Drosophila melanogaster: one gene and its partners. The protein of the gene in region 1 interacts with the protein of each later gene in a pairwise test. Each region holds a gene or a part of one and is shown on either strand. Other genes may lie near its edges. The genes, in order: CG13287, Tango11, Cpr50Ca and Polr1H.

Region 1 (3,852 bases):
GAATTCACTGCCTCACTGCGCTAATAAGTTGAACATATTCTTCGCTCTACTAACATGGCGTATGTTACTTTTGGTACCCGCGAAAATCTGGTGCTTTTTCTGGTCCTGGGAGCCTATGTTTTCGGTCTACCTCACAATCGAAATAATGGGTTGTCCGGCCAGGAATTCAAAGAACTCCATATGCTGCCAAATCAAGATATCTTCGTCTTCTAGAATCCCTGGTTTGGGATTCTTTTTTTCAAAAATTAATTGAATTTTAAGCTCGGTTGTCTTTTGGGATTTCTTATTAAGGTGGCGTCTATATAAGCTTAATCACATTATTTCGAAAGCATAGACAACTCATTGGCTTTTGTTTAAGCTTTTCAAAAATATTTGATTGCAATAATCCTCAAGCTCATTTTCATAACATGATTTTAGAATACTTCAGATCTACTACAAGATAAAATTTCCCATTAACCCAAATTTTATTAATAAAACGTGATTACTATTGAATTGGCATAACAATTAGATTTTTATTGAAACATTCAGCCACACATTGAATTTGCAACTTAGCCATAATATCTTACAATGATGAAACTGAAGATCCTTTCGGGTCCTTCGATAAGAAAGATAATTAATTGAGATACAGGGAGATCCAGTTACATATTTAAGATACAAATTGCACTACATTTAAAGCTAAGGGGAAATTAAATCGGAGCGTGGGGGAAACTAAAGTTAATATCACAATCGAAAATGGGCAACGGGTTTTGTTTTTGGGGAGTTAGTTGACTTGATGACTTAAAAATATCCGAAGAAATGCTTCGATCATTTGGGCATACCACCCATTCGGCGACCTGGCGGTGTGCCGCCGACCACGTTGATGATCTCGTTGTCACCGGCAGATGAGGATGAGTCCTCCAGCTGCGGCTGGTGATCACTGGCCTTGTCCTGGTGGGCGGTCATGTGTCGCGTTAGATGGTGTCGCTCCCTGAAAGTCTCCTGGCAGACGGGACATCGGAGTTTCTCCTCCCGCTTCCGTCGATTTGGATCGCAGGCCACTTCGCTTTTGTGATGGGATCGCATGTGATACACCAGATCACTGGTCATCCGGAAACTTATGTTGCACTTGGCGCACACATTCTGAGCGGTCAGTGTAAAAGTGGATGCCAATGTGGGTGGAATCAACGTGGAGAGAATGGCTGCTGCAGCGGGATTCTGGAGAGGTTGGGATACCGCGAATGGATGTGGTGGCGGAGCAAATCCGGGATAGGCATGCAGGAACTCCGACGGTGGACCCGGTGGTGAGTTTGCCTGCATAGTAGGTCCTCCTCCATTGGGATTTCCAGGTCCTGGTGGACGGGTGTACAACAACTGCTGCTTAAGGCGCTGCTGTGCCTGCAGAGCCTGCATGGGATTCACCGCCTGGAAGGCTCCGTTGAACTGATACTCCGGTCGGAAGTTGTGGTAGACTATGGGATTTGCTGGCAGGGGATTTGGATTCTGGCCACCGCTATTGGTTCTTGGTGGAGGTGTCACCAATGGTGGACTTATCGAGTGACAGCTTAGCTGATCGGGACTCAAGGGCGGAGCTCCCGCATCCACGGGTGATTCCAAACGTGAAGTGGTCGATGGTGAGGATGATGAAGTGGACAGCGACGAGGAGGCTACTTTGGTAAAAGCGCTGCGCATGGGCGGTGGTGGTGAAGAAGTTGATGGTGCCTCTGGAGAATCCACCAGGGGTATGACCACACTGGGATCATCATAAACCCGCGGCGAACGGATGCTGATCTGTGGATACCGCTGGCGTGCCTCCAACAGACTAATGTACTCCAGTGCCGCCGGCGAAGGTGGTTGCGAGGAGGTTCCTCGAGGAGACAAATCTGTGGGATAGTGGCTCATCTGCTGCTGCTGCTGTTGGTGGTGATGATGGTGCAGTGCCTCTTGAAGGCGAGCCTGCTTCTCGGCCTGCTTTTGCTTAATCCGTTCATCGGGCATCATGAGGAAGGCCACATCGAAGGCGCGTTTAAGAGTGGTCTTTCCACCCGGTGGCGATGTGGGTGTCTCATTGTTGTTATTGTGATTAGTGGTTTGATTTTGCTGCGGTGACTGTTGCGGTGATGTGGAGATCCTAAGCTCGGCGTGCTGAGGCGGCGTTGGGCGACGCTGGCCAGGATTCGCGTGCGACGGCATGCTATCCATGAGCAGATTCATTTTCACTTCAATACACTTTTCGACTTTCACTTGGCTCTGGTAGGGACTTTGGGTCTTTGGTTCTATACAGTTCCTTGCGATTCGAAATTCCAGTTTCGACTGCTGGCCGCCCGCAATCTGTTCCTCTTTAAGTACCCGCTGCCACAACCACCGCGTCCAGTTGGAATTCTCGTATTCTCATATTGTCCCATTCAATTGGGAAAAAGCAACTCTCCGCACTCGCGGCACTTGGCCCATCTGTCCTGATTCTGCTCGGAGTCTGTTCAGATTCAGGTCCTGCAGAGAGCACCACCCTTATGTTCCTGCTCTTGCTCTTTCACTCCCGCTTGTCCTCTCTTTCTCCAGCGGTCTTCTCTCTCTTTCTTTGGCCCACTCTCCGTCTCTCCAGCGTTCCATCTGCTTTGCCAGTTGGCGAACATATTCTGTGGTTTTATTGTGCGAGTCCTAGCCAGGACGACTCCTGGTTGGCTAGCATTCACGGACAGGTTGGCTTGTTCGAAAACCTTGTTGTGCTGTATGTGATGCATTGGTACAATGGGCAATGTTGTTGTTAAAGTTGTGTGATATTATTTAAAAAACTTAATTGATTAAACTTAGAAGGATTTGAAACTAGGGTCATCTATATGAGAAGTTACTCTTATTCATTCAAAAGAGTTGAATATCTTGAAGTAGTTGCGCTTAAACTTCATTAGGTAAATGTTTTCAAATATTTTACAATAAATAAAACTTTTTCGCATGGTTTCCATTTAGATTTTTACCAAAACATTATATTTTACTAAATTATTTTCCCTGTTCCGCCCACTGTGCACTCATCTCTTTTCGCAAGGAGGCGGTGCTTGATCCTGGCCGCTCTCTCGCTTGCTCTCTCTCTCGATTTGCCTCTCACACCCACCCCGAAAATATGGCAGGACCTGCCCTCTCTGTCTGGCTCTATGCCCGTCTCTGTCGGTGGTGATGTCCTTGTTGCAAGTGTTTCCGAACAGGTTGTTTTTGTCGATTTTTTAGCAGTTCCAGCGAGATTGTGTGAATATGTGGCCATGTTTTGTGCTGGTGTATTTGTTGCGTTTGTTGCTGCTGGCTTGGATTTTGAGTATATGCTGCGCGTAGCTTTTACATATTGCCAACTACACACACACACACACACACACACGCTCTGGAATTGGGGTTCCCCCGTTTTGTAGGCGACTGTTGAGCGTCGAAATCTTTCAACATACCGAAATATTTATTTGTCAGTTAAGTTAGCGCTATGTGGAAAAAGTGGCAAGTGCCCAGTAAATATGCACATGCAACAATAGCAAATTGTGCAATGCCTTCCGTTCGTTTTCCGTCTCGTTCTGATCCCCCGTTTATTTCCCTTTTTTCCGGCTAGACCCTAGATCCTGGCAGACCGGATGCAAGGATGTGGCCATTGCCAGGACAAAATATGTGTCTGTTATGGTCAGTCGTGAACAGGGTTTGCAGCTATGGGGTGTATGTATATTTTATTTAAATTTTCGACTCTTTTGTTGCACTTTTTGCTTGCAGCCATGTGGCTGCAGCAGCGGCAATTTAATGTTTGCATATTTTCAGGTGCTAATTGTTCCACTTGCCATATGAGTTGCATTTTTAATTAATATTTATAGCCAACAGCCGAGTGTGCGAGTGTGCGTGTGTGTGTGTATG
Region 2 (5,335 bases), on another chromosome or scaffold:
GTGGGTGCTGCTTATCAGCTTCATAAAACACACAGAAACAGAAGCTCGAAATTTGTAATAAAGGTAGGACAGTTACAGTTAATTATGTAGTTTAATTGGTTGTAACGATCGAAATTAAATAGAACTAATATTTCGCTATGCTTTTATATTGAAAGCAATTGATTTCAAAATTCTAAACTGCTGATGGTTGGAATACTGATCAAATATAGCTAAGCACTTATCCACCGGCCAGCAAAACTGGTTTGTGCTGGAGAACTCACCTCGGAAACCTCTGGGATGGGTGTGCGTGCCTTGATGGCGGCCTTGATGGGCAGCGAGGAACCAGATCCCGATCCGGTCAGCGGACCCACCGACGACCTCGGCCGGCTGGAGCGACGGGTGCGCGGGCCAAGATCGGGCGAGGGCGGTGCGACGACCTTGTTGCGTGACGGGGAGGCACGTGTCCGGGTGGCGGGACCAGCGGTGGCGGTGGCGGTGGCGGTGGCACCCGCAGCTGTCACGGAGCCCGTACGTCGGGTCACCGGCAGGAGGCTGGGCTGCTTGGACTGGGCCAGAAGTGGACCGCTGGACACGTCTTCCGTGCGACGCGGGCGTCTCAGGCGTCGATCCATGGTGTATGAATTGCGGTCGAAAAAACGTGCTGCAAAATGGATATGATCAGTCGTTGTGCTCGGCGAGTGCTGCATGTTATTTATAGTTTACAAAATACACACAATCTATTAATGTACTTAAGTAACGCTGTGGTTTTCTCTAGTTTCTTTGCTTTCTTTATTTCTCTAATTTTCTGTATTTATTTGTGTTTGCGCGCCGAAAGGAAAAGCGACGTCGCTGCCGCAACTGTACATTCCGCAGGCAGCGACGCTGGCAGAACGCGCTCTCTCTCTTGCTCTCTTCCTCTTGGCTGGCAGTTTTTAAACGATGTTTAACTTAGCTTAAACAGCTTTTAACGCTTCACAACTTAGTAACTCACTTCTGATGGGATTTATTTGTAGTTTTTCACTTTATGGGGCTATTGAAACGCCGTAAATTCAGCATAAATCACTTGATAAAAAAGACGCGCGTCTAGTTGTCGGCGGATGAGAAAATTTTGTTGTAAAATGAGCGCGGCCCACTGCGTTGGTATTTTTCAGTGTTGGCTAACGCCGAACGGCGCCTAACAGCACGCAGCGTGTCGTTAACAGTGGTTTAGTGGGCACTTTAAGACAATTTAAAATGTATTCAAGGTTAATTATTTTAAAGTATTAAAAGTACTTGTACTTATTTTTACATTCCCTTAAACATTAATCGAACCATACCAATGCGCAAGTATTATAAATCGATAGAAAACTTTTTGGAGTATTTGATCTTTGCAAAGACTAACAGTACTCATTTTATTTACATATGTAGGTTATAAAGACCAAAGTTGTCGCTTAAATCGAGTTGTAAATTATTTGTTCAAGACAGAAGAATACCGCAAACTTTTCAAGAAACAAAAACATATTAATAAAATGAATCAAAACAACTGAAATAACTTCTTAAATACCTAGTTTTCTACTGATATTGAGGTAGATAATTAATTTGGCTAAAAAGGAGCTAGAGTGCCGGATCTGTAGAGTGGAAGTAGAGTGACTGTCATTCCTGGTATTATTTAGCACATTCTATATCAATCTCCTCACACACATAACAAAAGGCAGGAGAAAAATTGTAAATTATTACGGATTTCTCGGACATTTTTCTGTCATTTCCCGAGCAATGTAAGTAGAAAGCATTCGAAAAACCCAATACGCAACAAACACACGCACACAAGCCGGACGAAAATGTTGCGCTTGCCAAATTCTGGTTATTAATTTGTTATGAAAACGTCTCTCTCACGGCCGCCTTCTACCTAAAAAAAAAAAATTGGACAAACAACGAAAAACCAAAAGCAAGTGAGGCCCATTGGATCAGTTGAAAGGATTCCCCAGGACATCGCCATGGTGACCCCGCAATCGCCGACGCCCATGTTCAATGGATTGGACGATGATCTCTACAGCGACGCCAAATATGCCCACGAGATTAACGACAAGATGCGGGTTCCCAAAAGAATAAAGGCCACCGGGGAGTATTCCAACGAGGATCTGCTGCTGTCCAACCAGAACGGGATGATCAGCTCCTGGAACTATCACGACAAGATCGACATGAATGTACCGGATCGAATTGTGGTCCTGGGCCACAATCAGCATCTGGAGACGCGATCTGCTCCGCGGGAAATCCAGCTGGAGAACTCCATTCTGCCCAAGAACCCATCGGTCGGATTGGTGCGCGTCCAGACGCCACCGCGCATTATCACCCTCACCGATCAACACTTTCCCTCGGCCTCCGAGGAGAGCTCGCCCATCCGGGCCAATGGTCATCATTTGTATGGTAATGATCTCGACGAGGACGCCGACGATGAGGAGGTCCATGCCACCCAATATGTGCGTGCCAATGGAGTCGCCCGTATGGGATTTCAAGGCAATGACACCAATTCCGTTGAATCGGACTCGCAGGTGAGTAAAATATGCCATACAAGCAACAATTTTCCTTTAGTTTTTCAATTCAATTGCAAGTGCTTGTAAATTAAATCGATGGGCAGAATGAGCAACTCTGTGATTTCTGTTAAAGAGCACTTCATTTGATGGAAGTCTAGACCCTAGCGATCCACACATGACGCAATAAAACAACCAAAATTGTTAATAGATAATAGATAGATAGCGATCACACTGCGCTTGCCACCCATTCAGTTTGCAAAGAGATTACCATGCCTGCTGGTTTTTATTGAATTCCTAATACGGCTTTGATAAGACGGCTGACCCAATTTCCATCGACTGTGTGGAAACACACTCTCACTTTTTGTTAATCGCTGGAGTAGCCGTGTGCCTCCGGTCGATCCTCGCCCTCCTGTGTATCCTTAAGGCGCCTCGCAAAAGGACGACACTTCCAGATGTCCACCTCGGTGGCCAGGCACTTGCGAAAATCGAAATCGCACAGACCCAAACTGTACGAACCCTCCATGGGCTCGAAGTAGTGAAGGCCACGGCCAATCTTAATGACCACTCCCGAGCTAAGAACGATCTTGCGATCGTGCAAACTGTCGTCCATCTGGAAATTCATCTGGATGTTGCCACCGGCCAGATCGCTCTGCATTTGCTGCAGCATCTGCAACTGATTCTTGGGCGCCGTCGCATCTGGGCGCGTAGTGAGGCGAATATACTTTAGATAGCGACAGTTCTTGACCAGCACCTCGAAAAAGTTAAGCAAATTCCTAAAGTGTGGTGGCTCCGTGAGGTGTGGCTCGTTGAGATGGGCCTCCCGAACCGCATCGTCCAAATACGGACCAAACAGCCGCTGGTAGCTTCTGCCCCTGGCACCCTGCTCGATGGTGATGTGATCCAGCATACGGCTGGTGTGCAAGTGACCCTTGACCTGATCCCTCAGCTGTTTGGCCCGCGCCTCGTACATCTTCAAATACTTCCCACACAGCTGGCGGCGACTCGGCTCCGCATCGGCCATCTGGGACAATTTGAAGATGCTCTCCTCGTAGAGTAGTATCGCCTCCATAATGTGACCCGTCTGCTCGCATTTCAGCGCGCTGATTATCGCCTCCAGTTTCGGCAGCTCGCCATCATCCACTTCTGCTACGTTGGGACTGGTTGTCATTGCTGGGATCGAAAGAAATTGGTTGGCTATACAGAAAATTTCGAGTTGGGCGTTTTTTTTTTTTTCGAATGTTTATTGCTTATATTGACACCGGAAATATTTGGGGGAGCTCTGAAAAATGACTCTTGCTTCACATTGATAACAGAAAACTTTCACAAAGCAAACACTTAACATGGTACACACATCTAAATCCTATTTGGCGCAACTTATCTTTGACTACCTTATGTGTTCCAGTTGACCACAGGCAGTGCCAGCAAGCGCTCGCAGCTGAATCAACAGCAGCACAACAACCTGGATGCCTCAATGCTGGCGCACCGAGAGGGCACGCCCATGGGCGAGCTGACGCCCCACGAGGAGATCCTGTATCTGAGACGCCAGCTGGCCAAGCTGAATCGCCGGGTGCTGAACATCGAGATCAACAATGAACAGCGCACGCAGCGGGAGAAGATCGTCTACTGTCTGGGCCTGGCCTACTTCGTTCTCAAGACAATATTCTGGCTGAATCGCAACTAGACGCAATGTAGAGCCCACTATGATGGTTAGCGATCTGCGCTGGGTGCCAAGACAACCACCTTGCTATGGACACCCTTTTTGGAACAGCTTCTTTCGTTTCTTGACTTTTGTGTTTCTTTTGTGGAAAGGCTCTGAGAGAGACTTTGTTTTTTGTTTGCCATAATTTTGTAGACTAAGCTCCGTAATAAATAAGCGCAACATCGTTCTGTTTTGTACACCGTGGAAAACGAAAAAAACAAAGGCCCCCATACTTAATTTGTAAGATCTGGCACTTAAGGAGCGTGTATCTAAATCTAAGCTTTAATCTCTACGTGTTTCATCTGAGCAGCCCCCAACACGAATCCGAATCATCACAGCAGCATTGCATTGAAAAGATATTGTTTAAAAGGGTTGTTTATATTTTAGATCTGTTAACATTTGATAATCCCAAAGTGAAAACAAGAACTTTAATGGTATTTGTATGCGAAATCCCATACGATAAATAGTTAAATATATACATAAATATAATATTATACACTAAATCCCACAGAAATCATTGCATTGATTTTTGCATAACTAGCGGAAACGAAGGAAATCCATTTAGAGTGTAGCATGAATTCATAACGATATTTAAAATAAAACGTTTAAAGTACCAAAACAAACCATATGCTTCGTTAATTTTCTACCAGGAAATAAGTAGATTTCGGTTTTCAACGCATTTAAAAAATGTATTTATTTTAATTTGTTGGTTTTCTCTTTAAATAGTACGTATAGTAATCAATTAAAACTACCGATTAAATGCAATTACATCTGCTTGTCTCATCTAACTTCCGACTTCCTCTTCTGCTATACATCTTTAGCTAACAAGACGTTAAACATTAAGTTTAATGCAAAATGACGAAAAGACCTGAGCGAAATTTCGTTCGATTCATTTGCGGTGTGTGTATTGTTTTTCGTGTATTTTGTCTGTGAAGTGGATTGTTTCTTTCCCTTTTGCCACCCGATCTTCGATCAATCGCTATCATCCAACTACTTAGAGAACAAGATGCAATTGTTTGTATCTTTTTATTTATAATGGAATTATCGTTTACTTTACACAAATAATATGCAAGGGGACTACTTTTCTCTTTCATTTTCCGAACGACTCGCCTTTCCAGGCGAAACGCCGCAGGATCGAAAAAAAAAA
Region 3 (4,737 bases), on another chromosome or scaffold:
AGTGTCTTTTCATTTCAGATGGGACACGCGCTAGATTCGTTTGAAAACTCAATGCAAAGAAGCGATAAAAATTGTTGCTATTTGCGTTCGTTTCAGTTTGCTCAGTCGGATTTTATGGCATTAGAAGTGCTGCGAAAACTAGTTAACAATTCCTTTACGATCCGCTAAGAGAGGCAAAAGGAGCGAAACTACTACTTCAACTTCTACTCCTACTTCTAATACTACTATCTGCATGGCGTTTTAAAAGTTTTCTTTTGTTTTGACATTATTTGGGAAATTGAAACTGTAATATTTGCAGCGAGAGCTGCGAGAGCTAAAGTTTGATTAAATTACGTTTTTACCATTTGGCTTTCGAGTTTTACAGCTGTTTACAAGTTGTATTTATTGTACTGGCAGTTTAAAAGTGCTGAACTGGCTTTTATTGTACTCGGTTTATTTTTTCAAGACAAATAACCAATAATAAAAGTCAGCATGGCATGGAGGTGATAAACTTGTAAAAGCAATTCAATTAGTTTTGATCATCTTCTGGCTTCTTAGTTACAAGGGAATCAACATCTCAGTGGGCAAACAGAAGGTGTTTTTTGTATCAGCATTCAATTAGTTTTAGAAAAATCATTTATTTTGTGGAAATTCGTTTTGGGTTAATATAAACTAAATCACTATCTTTTGTTTGATTTGATTAAGTTTTGGATTCGTGTATGTTTTTATTTATTTATAATTTTTTCTCTAAAGTTCCATGTCTTTAACCCAATCAATACAAACACATTCCCTCTGGACTTTATTGTTCTCGTTCGCTTTCTTTCATGTCGAGCAGGTTGCTTCATTAAATGGTTTCTGTAATTGCTGTTTGGCCACAAGTTTGTTTAATTGTTGGCTGCAATATGCGCTTACGGCATCGTCTCTTGTTGTATGCAACAAGCCGGAAAAACGTGCCACCCAGACGAGTGGTATGGTGTGGAGTGGAGTGGGCCAAGACCCAGGGCCAAGACTAAGTTCCAGACCAAGAGCAAGACCAAGACGGAGAGCGAGTCGAGACAGCAGAAGAAATGGTAGCAGGCAGGCAAAAGGCACAGCTTGGGCTAATTGTTAATGTGGCAGTGAGATGTGGGTGGTGCAACGTGGGTAGTTACCAACTGCAGTGGCCGTGGCAGTTAGAACCAGTTTGGTCTTTTTTGCCCTGGCCAAAAACCGGCGGCAAAGTCAAGTTCAATGCACATAAAAGACTTTACGGGTCTAGAAAGTGCTGGGGGTACGAGTGCTTCCTGGGCCACAAGGAAACTTGGCTGAAAAGAAATGCCAGCAATGGTCGCAAACTTTTTTTTTTTTTTTTCCATCCACTTAAATTGCAAATTTCCAGTTTCGATTGCAAATGCTGCTGGTGCATTTTCCTTTCGTCCCGGCAGTTGGATATGGATTCCAATGTCGATTCGGTTAGATAACCACAGCGGGCCTTCATAAAGACCGGGGTCATAAAATGGAGAGCGTTTTGGCCAAAAAGCACAAACAATCAATGCCAGTTGCATAACGAATTTTTGAGCAAAGATACTTTGGAATACGCTTTATGATTTTAATGCCTGGTAATTAAACGAAGTCTGGCCAGTATTCGCTGGTTTCCGGGCTAATTGAAGTTCAAGTGCAATGAAAATAAATTGCTTGCGAAATGTGCGTGCGCCAGGAAAATGAGAAGAAGCCCGCCATATGCAGTGACTGGCCGCGTCCATTTCCTGGCCAGAAAATGAAAATCGCTGCATCGAAGGCCGACACTTTTCCCAGGCCCACGCCCAGAAATTTCGCTCGAAGTCTCTCCACTGGCGCTTGTTGTTTTCACGCCTCGATGGCCCTTGCAGTTGTCGGTTATTTATATTAAAATTTCAGAATGATGAACCCGACCCGAAACGAACCGACCCCATGTACTTACCATTAAGGTGGGGATGCCACCGCCGCAGATAGCCATTTCCATTTTCCTTGGATGTCGGCGGAAGTTCGGGCAAATGAGGCGTCAAGTTGCACGTTGCACTTTTCGCGTTTCCACAAAAGTGGCAGCTCAATTTGTAATTGTTGTTGAAATTTCTGTTATTCTCCCACGCTGTTTTTCGCCGTCTTGGTATTTTAAATACAAATTGTAAATGAGTTTGTTCAGCGTTGAACCTTATTGTTTGTTTGTCGGACCTGGAAAAGTATTCGTTCAGTTTGGTTAACTATCACAGCAGCTAATTGCGAAAAGTGCTTTTCAAATTCTCATATTAACTGTTTTAAACATTTCCCCATAATTATGAAACATCATAATTAACAAATTAGTAAAACAAAAATCATTATATGGTACTTTAACAGATGACACATCTGCAAAGGCTGTGTTAAATGAGTACTTTTTAAAACTATGAAGGCAGAAAAATAGTATCCTGCGATTTCAAAAATTCCTGTTCTTAGAAAATCAAATGAATGACAAATGAATGAATTATGTTTAATGAGAATTATTTCTGATCTTATATTCTTTACCAAAATCTTTTTCATTAGTAACTAAGAGATTTTTGAGATAAAACAAGACCATAAAATCTAATTTAACAAATTTAACTATCTAACTAATCGTTTTCGTTATTCGTCCTTAGATGTTTCACTTATAAGTTTCACTTTTGTCATTCAGTAAAATATTCATTAATTTGCTCGACGTTTAACTTGATGCGTTTATATTTTTTTGATTTAATTTATTTTAAGGTATATTATATCCTTGTTAGCCAGCACTTTGGTTAAATGTAATGCAAGCTCTTTATATTTTTTTTTTTTTTACAAAATGATTTTCTCATATCCTTTGCGGAGAAAAGCAAACTTTGACTATATTCATTCAACTTTGTCTTTGAGCTTTGTTTAAACTTGCTCGTCGCAGTCCTCGTTCGTTTCTCATTTATTTAATGCGACTTTTAATTTGAGTTTTCGTTTCGTTTCGTTTCGCTTTGCCTTGTTTACTTTTGGCTGGAAAAACTGTGGAGGAAAACCGCACGCTTGCGCGCTGCTGTTGCAACTGTGCCTCGAATTTTCGCGCCACTTGAGTTTTGTGTGTGTTCGGGGCCGCGCAGTTTTCACGGAGACAGCCGGTTTGTTGTTGGCTCGCTTTTCGCTGCCTCGCTTTTCCCATTTTCCATTTCCATTCCTTTGCCTTTGCCGAAAAGACTCGGCCATGTCTGGCGTATTGCTGTTGCATTTTCCATATTTTTTCTCCTCCTTCTTTTTTTTTTGAATTTTATTTTTTTATGTGTGGGGCATAATAAGCTGCTGATTAAATTTGCAACGCTCAGAAGGAAGTCGAATTTGCAATTTATTCGGGGAAATTCATTTGCATTCCAAATCTGTGGGGATAAATGGAAATTAGACAGGTGCTACGATGCCAAAAATGATTTTACCTATATTAATTGTTACATTTTTTATAAATTCCAATGATTAAGAGTTTATTAAAGTTGTCTTTATATTTGATATATATATTCTTCAAACAGAGCATTTCTTTTTCGACTTTTGAAAATTGAAAACCTCACCACTCACTTGATATTTGTCTTTTAGCTGGCTGCATTTCGAGCTGCTTTTTTGGCCATGGCTTTGGCCAAGGCGTTAGCCAACTTTTGACCATCAACATTTGCACAATATGCGCTGTTGCTGTGCTGATGACAACGAAATGTACAAGTTTTCCTACCATCTGTGTGCATTTTTCTTTATTTTTTACGAGGGCTTAGAGTGCGTGCGTCTGGGGATAAAACTGAGCTCAGTGCCGTCATGGTTGTATAATTAATTTATTAATGGCAACAAGTGAAATGCACTGCCACGCATTTCCTATAAGGCTTGGCCCAGCCTGATTATGTGATTTATAGGAACTTATATATTTATAAGTTTGATATTGATATTTATATTTGATTTATAGAACTTATACCCCTTGGTTGGTGTGATGTGGTGACTGGTGGGTAAGAGAGTGCTAACCCCTGGGAAAGTTCAACTGCAGATATTATGCAACAGGCAACCGCGAGTCACGCACGCGCTGCCGCAAATGAAGTAGCTGACAAATTATCTTTATTTCATTTTATATTATTTTATTGCAGCCCATGGTGGGACTTTAAAGCGGCTTAGAGTGGCGAGGTCGGACTATCTGTTCGAGTGCATCGAAACCTGGGCCAGATGCTGAGCTGATTGGGGATTTTTGGCTATGATTGGTGGTTACCACGGGAAAGAGAGTGAGAGAGAGAGGGGGGGAGGCGGCTTTTGGCACTTTCACATTTGTTTTTGCTGGTGTTGAAATTGAGTTATTAGAGGAGAGCCATGTAAGCGACCAGGGGCGTATACTTAATATTTAAGCAAGGGGGGGGGGGGGGTAATATTCCCAGCTTACTAATGAATACATATAATTTTTATCAATTTTATAAAATCGTTTCTTTTTCATGACCAGAGCTTTCGACATCACTTTCTTTACCCCTTCCGCCGAGAGTCTTAATTCCACACCTCTGGGCACGTTCCTCGGGCAATGTGCCAACCTCCTACCGAAAGCCACATAATTGCTGTAATCGCGGTGGAGATTTGCAATCTCGTAATAAATTCAGACACCGAAGATGCGCCAGAAGTTGGAGGAGCCGCTCCCTCCGGCCGGAAACCCCCATGTGGCCACCAGATGCGTCGCCAGTTGCAGCTGCAATAGGCGGAAATCTCACACAGAAAGTTGCATTGCGGATGCAGTCATCGTCGTCGTTGTCGTCTCCCGGCTCC
Region 4 (2,991 bases), on another chromosome or scaffold:
TCGCCTCAGGTCTCAACCCGGTGGTATCGAGCGCCAGAGATTCTATTTGGCAGCCAGAAGTATGGAACCGGAGTGGATATGTGGGCGGCAGGTTAGCCATGACTCTTTGATGGGTTTACATATATCCTTATGGCTGACATTATTGCTATCCAGGTTGTGTTGTGGCGGAGATGCTACGCGGAGTGCCCCTGTTTGCGGGAACCACCGACATCGAGCAATTAGCCATCATCATTCGCACTCTGGGCAGCCCACGTCTGAATCAGTGGCCAGAGCTGACTTCTCTGCCGGATTACAGCAAGATACGGTAGGCATTCTTACCGTCTATGATTACTTAATCCGTAATATTCTTGACGTAGGTTTCCCAACTCCGTGGGCATTCACTGGGACAACTTGTTTCCCAGCTGCACACATGCGGTGGAAATCAATCTGGTCTCGAATCTGGTGGTCTACAATCCCAAAAACCGACTCAAGGCCAGCGAGGTGGGTTCTGCTTCAAGTTTGACACCGGTTAGGTATTATAATTGGTAAATTCTATATTTCTCAGGCCGTCGAGCATGATTATTTTCATTAATCTAGGACTATTTACACGGACATTGCTAGCAACTAAGAGTTTTCGGATTCTTTGAATCTGCAAGGTAGAATGTGTGTGATTAGTTGTGGAAGTGAAGGAATATGTTTATCAGGACACCTACTTGCACTTAAGGCAGGTAAAGAACACCGTCTGGCCTTCGTCCGCCGATCGAAGCTGCAGGGTGGCATAGGACATCTTGTCGTGGTTGCACTTGGGACACTTCCTCTCCACAACGGGGCCATCCGCGTCCGATTCCGACTCCCTTTTCGTCCTGTTGAACACCTTGCTGGGATCGTAGGTGTTGAAGTGTATGGTAAACTCGGACTTCTCGCCGCTGTAAACTATTTTTAAGTGTTAAATAAATTAAACAAAGTTGTAATTTCTGGATTTACCATCTGGCTGAAACTCCTTCTTGCAGTTGTAGCAAATCACATTGCCCTTGACTTGAAGCTCGGGCAGAATGGAGCCGCAGGAGGGGCAAAAGCCCGGACAATTGGAAAAAATATCCATGCCAGTATATATCACCCAAAATCAAAATCAAAATACAAAAACCGCACGTGCTATTTCGGATTTCAGTATGAGCGTAACTGAACCGTTTGAAATATACCACACGGTATTAAAAATATACTTGATTCATATACTAAATACGTAAGGGTGGAAAACTAGAATAAGTCTGGTTGAAAGCCTTGATGAAACGGGTAGAGCCGTTTACCCGTTTCGATTACCGGTTCTTAATCAAAATCAATTATTCAAAATAAACTTTCAAAATAGTATTTGATATTCATAGCCAATATTACGTAATGAAAACAGTTAGATTTTAATAGCCAATATCAAGTTATGAAAACAGTAAGATTTTTACTTTTATCTTTACTTTGTATTAAAGTTTACAAAACTATTACATCAATAAGGCGATCTTACGGTCTAGTTAGCTGAAATGCAAGTCGGATGTGTACTGTGTTCCAATTAAACTACCTAAAACTATCACAGGCAGAACATTAACTACGCACTAGAGGTTCCTAACTACAACTAAGCATCTAGGAACTATTGATCCTTGGCTGCCACATATCGCACAGTATATATATATTTAAAATGCAGCTATCGGGTGGGATGACTCTGCGGCATGTTAAGCTCCCAGAGCTTCACATTGTTGTCGAGAACCTCGTGGTACCAGCTCTCCTTTTCCGGCTCCTCCCGGAAGATGGGCTTCAGCGACTTGAGGTCCAACTGCAGTATGGCATCGTTGCCGAGCAGCGAGTCCAGGGATCGCAGTAGAGTACTATTACCGTGCAGTTTCAGCAGGGTCACATACTTGACCACATAGTACTCGTACTGCAGCTTCCTTCTCGCCCATCTTTCCACTGTAGCATTGGCACTAGCCGATCGAATCTGGCCCAGATGGGCGGCAAACCAGGGCGCAAAGTAGTTGTAAAGATCCAACTTGGACAGTCCGTTCAGACCTTTACTCTTGATTCGCTCCTTGATCATGCTGTAGTTCTTCCTGCTGTACACAAACACCTGATACAGCGAATTGCCGGTGGTGTATGAGTTTACGTAGTGGGTGCCCACATCTTCCATAAATCGCACTGCGGAAGTTATATTTCCGATTTGCAGTTGATCCATTCTCGATCGCACATCCGGCTCCAAGGGTTGGTGCACCGGAATCTCAGCGTTAAGACGCCCCGTTTCCCTGAAGCGCACCACCCTCACCAAAACATACGAGTAATCGCCTTGGATGAAAGATGTATTGATGCCCAGCTTCTTGGCCGCATTATCCGGAAACCATCCGCCAGTAAATGCCTCCCACGGTTTGTCCATTCGCTCAATGGAAAAGTCACGGAAGTAGGCCTGGAACAGTTGCCTCCGATTCTCGCAGAACTCCATGTGAAAGTCTCCATGAAAGATTCCGGGCGTGGTGTCTTCATGACTCTCCGCCAGGCCACTCAGATTCTGAAAGAAAAAAATCATTAATTATCTAATTGTCTAGTCAGCTCAATTATCAGGTAATAAATATCAAGTGACATACTTGAATAATCGTATATAATGATCGTTTTCCTAAATCTGATCAAACAAATATAATAAGCGCTCATTCTAACGACAAACGTGGCGGAAGTGAACAATATAATTACAACTAAAAATAGTTTTAAGTGATAACAACTTTAAACCCTATTTTAAAATTTTGATTATACTCCAAATAATTATGGTGATTGTGGTTAAAGGTTAATACAAACAATTCCGAGTTCATCAACGCCATTTAATTTATTAAATGTAAGCTTAACTCTGCCTTAAGTCCCTTACCCTATAGATGTTTTTGGTGGGCTCCTTAAACACCCAGCGATCCGGCTCCGAGTTGTCATTGAGCGGTATCACACGCATGGAGATTCCCAGGTAGCCATAGCGCAGGAATATATTGATGGCCTTGC

The links.
Region 2: the proteins of CG13287 (region 1) and Tango11 interact in a two-hybrid assay, tested with the Drosophila melanogaster proteins (one large-scale study listed by BioGRID).
Region 3: the proteins of CG13287 (region 1) and Cpr50Ca interact in a two-hybrid assay, tested with the Drosophila melanogaster proteins (one large-scale study listed by BioGRID).
Region 4: the proteins of CG13287 (region 1) and Polr1H interact in a two-hybrid assay, tested with the Drosophila melanogaster proteins (one large-scale study listed by BioGRID).

What each region holds. Positions count from the first base shown.
Region 1 is NT_037436.4:5,880,745-5,884,596, reverse strand, and holds CG13287 (uncharacterized protein), read right to left. Parts: upstream 2,294-3,852; 5' UTR 2,191-2,293; coding exon 805-2,190; coding exon of another isoform or gene 778-804; 3' UTR 507-777; downstream 1-506.
Region 2 is NT_033778.4:21,716,253-21,721,587, reverse strand, and holds Tango11 (transport and golgi organization 11), read left to right. Parts: upstream 1-1,624; 5' UTR 1,625-1,733; intron 1,734-1,742; exon of another isoform or gene 1,743-1,904; 5' UTR 1,905-1,952; coding exon 1,953-2,507; intron 2,508-2,755; exon of another isoform or gene 2,756-2,853; coding exon of another isoform or gene 2,854-3,657; exon of another isoform or gene 3,658-3,829; coding exon of another isoform or gene 3,830-3,832; intron 3,833-3,891; coding exon 3,892-4,170; 3' UTR 4,171-4,808; downstream 4,809-5,335. Other genes in the region: LBR (lamin B receptor), read right to left, coding at 261-686; CG30398 (uncharacterized protein), read right to left, coding at 2,854-3,657. UniProt on the Drosophila melanogaster protein: May play a role in mitochondrial and peroxisomal fission.
Region 3 is NT_033778.4:13,768,198-13,772,934, reverse strand, and holds the start of Cpr50Ca (cuticular protein 50Ca), read right to left. Parts: upstream 3,021-4,737; 5' UTR 2,962-3,020; intron 2,170-2,961; 5' UTR 1,961-2,169; coding exon 1,919-1,960; intron 1-1,918.
Region 4 is NT_033777.3:21,776,686-21,779,676, forward strand, and holds Polr1H (RNA polymerase I subunit H), read right to left. Parts: upstream 1,163-2,991; 5' UTR 1,082-1,162; coding exon 964-1,081; intron 913-963; coding exon 693-912; intron 629-692; coding exon 604-628; 3' UTR 529-603; downstream 1-528. Other genes in the region: CG6800 (uncharacterized protein), read left to right, coding at 1-91, 154-304, 357-528; tsl (torso-like), read right to left, coding at 1,667-2,518, 2,867-2,991.